2 linked regions of the Kluyveromyces lactis genome follow. The protein of the gene in region 1 purifies or fractionates together with the protein of each later gene. This does not show direct contact. Links are inferred from orthologs where the notes say so. Each region holds a gene or a part of one and is shown on either strand. Other genes may lie near its edges.

Region 1 (3,891 bases):
TTTCTTCCGGATGATGAGCAATTGCCTTTCTTTTCCCTTTGGATCTCTGAACAAGTTTGGATTGCGCTTTTCCTTTTGAAAGCTCGCGTCCCTCTGTTCGCTTATCCATGATTTCTAAATCTTCGAAGTAACTTCCATTGTTTAAATCTGATCCGTATTCTTCAGGGTCTTCATACTCTTGATAATGTGACGATAAATAATAACTAGCTGGTTTTCCAATTTCAGATTCAAATGGAAGAGACCTGTGCTTTTGTATAGTTTCAATTACCAACTGGACCTCAGTAGGAGTTTTATTATTAATGAAATAGCAAGCAGGTTGATTAGCTTCCGGAATTGCAAAACCAGCAAGGATTAAAAGCCTTCTGAATTCGGGCTGTTGGTATAAGGCCCTCTTTATCTCAGAATTAGTAGCATTGAATGCAACTTTTTTTACTCTTTCCTCTTCTAGTGAATTGATGCCTTCTGCTACCTTACCCTTCAATCCATCGAAACTTGACTGTAAATTAAGCAACAAAGCTTCAATCAAATCTTCATATCCATCATCGATAAGACTAGAAACCAAGATTCCAACTTGCATATCTAACAAAACTTTTTTAGGAAGAGAGCCTTCATCTGGAATATTGATAAATGTGCTGGGCAATACTATGTCAGGAGTACCTTCAGTCAACTTCATCTTTCCATGTCTCATATAGTATGATATTTGGGAGTCATGGAGCATTGGGAACAATATATTGATGTACAAAGAAGGCATTTTCTTCAGTTTATTTTTGAGCTGCTTAAGGTAGTACTCATTGAATTTTGTGAAATGAGTTCTTAGCTCAGAAGTTGTAGGCAGACCTTGTTGACTTAGAATTTCTCGACATAATATCATGAAGTCAATTCGAAATAGAAATAATTCTTCCTTCGCTTTGACAAACACTCTCTGAAAGAATTTTAGAACCCTTATGAGGTCTTTGTCCTCCAGTTCTTTGTAAGACTGTAGATATCTGATGTAAGTTGATATCGTTGGTTCTGTCAGATATCCGCGAAAAACCTTATCAAAGTTTATGGTCACTTGTTTAAATTGTTCTTCTAATATATCAAAGGCTGATTCATAGTCTAAATCATTATCTTTTGCATACTTTTCAATTGCTGTGTGATTAAGGTTCACCTTACGCTTCCTTTTTGACTCCACAGTCAACGAGCTGTTCTCATCAAATTTATCAATTGTTTTCAAAACCACATGTGTTAAATTAATGCAAGCTTTAACATATTGTGAAGAATGACTGGTTGCAGATTTTGGGAGAGATGCCAATAGCTGCAACATATTTTCGCTCAAAATCTTACTTATCACAGCTTGAACATCTGCCTCCCATGATTGGTCGAGAGATAATAAAAACTCCAAGTATTCCGTGAACAATAGCATACCCGCATGGACCACTGGCCAATTCTTTTGTTCATAACTCTCTCTCAAATATTTTGTAAAGAGAATGTAACACTCATCTAACAATGCGCCTGAGACATAATCCGGTGTAGCATCAATTTCATAAATGCACCGTGATCTCTGGAATTTCACAAACCACGAAATGAATAACATGTATTCAATCTTATGCAATGGTAATTGATCTTGAATTTCACTCGTAAAACTATCTGTGGCATTTTGCAATAACAAATTGAAACTGGAATCAACAAAATCTGCCAAAAACTCTTTTATGCTAGTAATGTTGTCAGAAGACATGTAAATAGAATTACCTTCAGTACTAAAAAAGCTGCTACTGAGTCCTTCAATAACATCGAGTCTCATAGTGATGGTTTTATTCCATTTTTTTCTTGAGTCTAACTCTTGTAATGCCGCATCATCACGCATGTTGACAGAATTACTAGCAATTGTCAATCGCGTATTTTGAGGTGTCTGTATAGACAATAAACCGCCAAATCTAGAATGACGAGAAGAAGTATTCTTTATTACATTAAGCTTCTTTTCATGTTCCTTTGCAAGTAATTCTGAAAGGTGTTTACCTGACGTTGTCATGTTGGAGTCTGTAATCTCGTGATCCGTACCCAATTTATAAGATTTTCTCTGGTTTTTGAACAATCGGATGGGGTTAATATCTTTTGTTAAGAAGAACATGACCTCTAACAACGGCCAACTAACGAAATTTGGGTCAACAGCGTCTGACAAAGAACTAGCCACTGTTAGAAGAAAGCCAAAAACTTTATTTTTATCAAATGCGGTTATGACACTATTTATGGAAATATCATCAACGGTAATATTCGTTGGTAACATTTCAGCCATAGTCAAAGGTCTCTTCAATCTTTTGACACTGGATATTGTAACTTCACCTGGTTCTATTGCCACCACATTTTTTAGAAAATTAAGAACCATTCGTATCAGAGAGTCATCCCTAGCAGTCCTATGATCTACATCCACACTCATGACGTTCAGGGCTAATCTAATTGCTGCCTTGAGAACCTTTCCGTTTTCTGTTGTCAAAATTGCATGCTTATACAGCAATTGATGCTTTTTCAGCTCAAAGTAATAATTCACTTGGTTATACGATGACTGATCTGTTATGATTAAGGGCCATGTCATCAACACCATAAGTTGCAACGCTCCTAGAGCGATTCTATCATGATATGATTTATTCGGGAAGAAAATCGAGATATCTTCACCTGTTTTTTTACTTTTCCTAGTAGCAGCACTATTTTTTGCCTCCCAATCCAATAGAATAGGTATTAGATCATTCTGCAGGATCTTGAATTCAGCTGTGGCCATTTCTACATCCCATCTCTTCTGGTTATCATCAACTAACTTGAACCAACGAATCAAATCCTTAATACAAGCCAAGCAATCATCACCTACCTTATAAGGTGGATTAACGGAGTCCACAGAGTGATCTGGTCCTCCAATTGCCGTGGCTAACATACCAATTCTTGCCTTAATGATTGTGTATGAAATATCCTGGTATTCATTCTGAATATGTATGTTTTGCCTATCTTCTGCCAGTCTCTCCTTCACAGTATCAACGTCATCGGGTTCTGACATAGTTACCTTCTGTCAAAGCTACGAACCCAAAGAAGTTTTCTAATAGTTTTCTCAACTAATACTAGTTATGTTCGTTGTCAAATTGGTCAAATTGGAAAGAATTTGCCCTCTTGATTAAGGTAGCCCTTCGAATATTCATCCTTTTGTTCAAACGCGTAAAACTGTTGAAAGCTGTTTTATGATCAAAATCTCATTCGATTGGAATTGATTCCTATGAAAAGTAAGACAAAACCAGATCACGTGATTTTGAAAATTGTAATTCTTCGCCCCCCCTATCAATACACGGTACAAGCACTGTTTTATTGCCTCACTATCAGCAATTGATAAGTTTCAATTTTAAATATTAGTTCCGTAACATTTTAGTTAGATTACTGTTCTCCCAACGACGAAACAGAGACGAAAGTCCAAATATCATGCGGGAAAGTAACTCACTGTTCTTGCTTTCAAGCTGAGCTTTCATACCAAACTAAAGGAATAGTAGCAGTCACCATATAATTTCAAGTAGATTGATACCAAACACAAGCCATATATTAAAATATTTGATCAAATTGTATTATACCTGCTCCTATGGCTACTTTGTTCTCCTTTGTGTCAATCTAGAAATAATCTTGCATATTTTTTTTTCGATCTTCATGACCGTATTAGGAACGGTCGTAAATAAAGCGTACAAAAAGCAAAAAATAAGGGTTCTGATTGCACTCGGCTTATGTGACGACATTCTCCGTTAATGAAGAGCAGACATAAGTGGAAAAGCTTTTGAAATTCCTCAAAAAAGACAAAAACACTGCAATAGTGTGTTAAAGATGGTTGGTCCGGTTTGCGATGTCTCATTTGTCAATGAAGATCAATAAGCATTAATCTGTGGT
Region 2 (3,933 bases), on another chromosome or scaffold:
TGGCTTTGGATAACACTTTTGCTCTGGCTTCAATACCACTAAACTACAATGGAAATATCAATGGAAATATCAATGAACATAACGACAATCAGAATTACGGTCATTTCGAAAACCAAGTGTATGGCAACGGTGTCCCATCTCTCGCTCCCTCGAACTCTGTCCCCTTCACAGGACAACCACAACTAATACCTCATTCGGGATCTCAAAATACAGCTACTCATTTACGCAAATGTACACAACCATTCGATGAATTCTCCTCATTGAACAAATCACCAGTTGAAGATGCAGCTTTGGACACCGTACGGTCTATCTCATCCCAATCCTCCCATGAACATACTGTTCTCCATAAAGAAATGAACTTCATATCTACCGATCAAAAGTCACAAATAAATCCTGATTGGGAAGTACTCCCCCTCGACATCGAGCAAGCAGGCATGTCTATGGAAGAAGAAGTGAAATTCACGAATAACTCGAATGAACCTAAGATTAATACTACTTTACAAAGACAAATGAATGAGTACGCTCTGGGTGAGAGGCACTTCAGAGAAACTCAGCAATTCATGAACTTTTTCAATTATACTTACAATTACCAAGAATGATTGAATCTTTTTCCATTCGGCTTTTCAGTGGACCTATGTCCACATTAACATTTTCGGTTTATTTTATCTGGTTACATTTTTTTCTTTTCTTTCGATTTTAGATTCATTTTCACTTCACCATTAATGCAACTGACTGTCAGGGGGGCTATTTTATCCCTGGCCAGCTTTCTAAAATCCTCGCGTCCATATACTTATATCGCTTAAATAAGATGAATTCTTACCTACGTATCATTAATTTTTATTATCAATTCACCGATGTTTTATCTTCTCCCTATCGAATCAAAAAGAAAAAATTCCATTAAATTGAACTTTGCTGCATTGGTTATCGATATGTTATGGTCGATAGTCAATGGTTTTCCTCGTGTTATACCTCAGTTAACTAATTTTGGATACTTGCAATACCTCTTTAGGAAAAGTAATATTGAATCGCCTTAACTCAGAAATTAAAAAAATGATTTTACATGTTGAAACACTTAAAACATGATCTTCAATGTGAAGGGCATCCAGGTTGAACGGCTCATCCAAAACCGGACATAGTTGGAGCAAGCTGAAAAAATCAGCAACAATGTCGGCACCATCAAGTCCTTTTCAACATGGTCAGCAATCATCCCAGCCTCCCTCTAGTGTAGGTGCTTATGATAGTTCACAATTCGATGATCAGTCGTTAGGAAACAGAACTCCCCAGTTTCCATCTTCTTCCAGAGGAGTGTCAGATGGAAATAGACATTTCGGTACTGATGACACTAGGCAAGGCATTAATTCAGAATCACAAATAGAGGCTATGGAAAATGATTCACAAGAAATTACTCCATTAGCCGGGATCAGGCAGAAAAACTTGAATGCCATCAAAAAGGTTGATGATAAAACTGGTGAAACTGTAAGAGAGGCATTCGAACATTTCTTGTCAAATTTCACCGCCCTCAATGATGAAACAGGTGAGATGGAGAAGGTTTATAGAGTCCAAATTGAATATATGAGATGGTACGAATTGAATACCATATACGTTGACTATAAACATTTGGCCGAGGTGGAAGACGGAGCTTTAGCGGTTGCTATTTTACAACAGTATTACAGATTTTTGCCATTCCTTTTATCTGGGCTAAGAAATGTGGTGAAGAAGTACGCTCCTGGATTATTATTAACATCTGACTCTGTACTTCCTTCTCAATCTCAAGAGAATTCTCAGGACCGCTCTTCGCAAAGAATAGATTCATCTTTGCCAACTTCGCAGGCTGCCACCGCAGGAGGCACTGCCCCATCTACCATTGCCACTAATCCAGATCAGGTTGAACGTGTTTTGCAAATCAGTTTCCTGAATCTCCCAACTGTCCATAGAATCAGAGATATTAGGGCTAATAAGATTGGTTCTTTAATGGCTATTTCAGGCACAGTCACGAGAACTTCGGAAATTAGACCAGAATTATACAAAGCCAGTTTTACATGCGAATTGTGTCGAGCTGTTATTGACAATGTGGAACAAGTTTTCAAGTACACTGAACCAACCTCTTGTCCAAATCCAACATGTGAGAACCAATCTTTCTGGTCATTAAACGTGAACAGGTCCAAATTCTTGGATTGGCAAAAGGTAAGAATTCAAGAAAATTCCAATGAAATTCCATCCGGTTCTATGCCAAGAACCTTAGATATTATTCTTCGTGGTGACTGTGTCGAAAGAGCTAAACCAGGTGATAGATGTAAATTTATTGGTACTGAAATTGTCGTTCCAGACGTTAGTCAACTTGGTTTGCCTGGTGTTAAAGCAAGTTCGACTCCAGATTCTAGAGGTATCTCACGGACAACGGAAGGATTGAACTCAGGTATTTCTGGGCTCAAATCATTAGGTGTTAGAGATTTAACTTACAAAATATCGTTTTTGGCATGCCATGTTGAAAATGTTGGTACCAGTTTCAATGGTAGTAGGATTAATGAGGAGGACGCCGATAAGACATCCAAATTTGATTATATTAACTTGAGAAACTATCAAAACTATGAAATGGCGGCAGAAACTGATCAAGAAATTTTCCTAACAAGGCTTGATTCTGACGAAATTAATGAATTAAAAGAGATGGTGAAAGATGAGAATATTTATGACAAACTGGTGAAATCGATTGCACCAGCAGTTTTCGGGCATGAAACCATTAAGAAAGGTATCCTTTTACAAATGCTTAGCGGTGTTCATAAAACTACTGTAGAAGGCATTAAATTGAGAGGTGACATTAATATTTGTATCGTTGGTGATCCGTCCACCTCAAAATCTCAATTCCTAAAATACGTCTGTAACTTCTCTCCAAGAGCCGTTTATACTTCCGGTAAAGCATCTTCAGCGGCTGGTTTGACTGCAGCTGTGGTGAAAGATGAAGAAGGTGGTGATTTCACTATTGAAGCTGGTGCGTTAATGTTGGCAGATAATGGTGTTTGTTGTATCGACGAATTTGACAAGATGGATATCGCAGATCAAGTTGCTATTCATGAAGCCATGGAACAGCAAACCATTTCGATTGCCAAAGCTGGTATTCATGCAACATTAAATGCCAGAACTTCAATTTTGGCTGCCGCTAATCCCGTCGGCGGTAGGTACAATAGGAAACTGACTTTAAGATCTAATTTGAACATGTCTGCACCAATTATGTCCAGATTCGATTTATTCTTTGTCATTCTTGATGATTGCAATGAGAAGATCGATACTGAGCTAGCTTCCCACATCGTAGACTTGCACATGAAGAGGGACTCTGCTATTAATCCACCATTCTCAGCAGAACAATTGAGTCGTTATATCAACTATGCCAAGACTTTCAAGCCGGTAATGACTAAAGAAGCTCGTGACTACCTAGTCAAAAGATATACAGAACTAAGGAAAGACGATGCGCAGGGGTACAGTAAATCTTCGTACCGTATAACTGTCAGACAACTGGAATCATTAATCAGATTAAGTGAAGCTATTGCTCGTGCTAATTGCGTGGATGAAATTGTTCCGAGCTTTGTCGCTGAGGCGTACGATTTGTTGAGACAGAGTATCATCCGTGTTGATGTTGATGACGTTGAAATTGAAGATGACGATAACTCCCCAGAAGAAAGTACGGAGGGTGAGGGCACAATACCTGCCACACAACACTTCGGCGAAACACTTGATACACAATCTCAGTCACCTTCTCAACCACTGAACGCCGACTCCGAAACGGGGGGTGGTCCTGACGTAGAGTCTCATGACAACGCTCATCACACAACACATAAAGTCGCAATATCATATGATAAATACGTGGAAATGATGAATCTAATTGTACGGAAAGTGGTTGACAGAGAAAAGAATGAAGAACCTGAAATGACAAAAACTGAG

Evidence for each region.
Region 2: the proteins of TOF1 (region 1) and MCM6 purify together in Saccharomyces cerevisiae (affinity purification with mass spectrometry; 3 studies listed by BioGRID, with this or other methods). This does not show direct contact. The link is inferred for Kluyveromyces lactis from reciprocal best matches to the Saccharomyces cerevisiae genes TOF1 and MCM6.

What each region holds. Positions count from the first base shown.
Region 1 is NC_006039.1:188,217-192,107, reverse strand, and holds the start of TOF1 (Tof1p), read right to left. Parts: upstream 3,026-3,891; coding exon 1-3,025. UniProt on the Saccharomyces cerevisiae protein: Forms a fork protection complex (FPC) with CSM3 and which is required for chromosome segregation during meiosis and DNA damage repair. FPC coordinates leading and lagging strand synthesis and moves with the replication fork.
Region 2 is NC_006042.1:935,861-939,793, reverse strand, and holds the start of MCM6 (MCM DNA helicase complex subunit MCM6), read left to right. Parts: upstream 1-1,164; coding exon 1,165-3,933. Other genes in the region: KLLA0_F10109g (C2H2-type zinc finger protein), read left to right, coding at 1-599. UniProt on the Saccharomyces cerevisiae protein: Acts as a component of the MCM2-7 complex (MCM complex) which is the putative replicative helicase essential for 'once per cell cycle' DNA replication initiation and elongation in eukaryotic cells.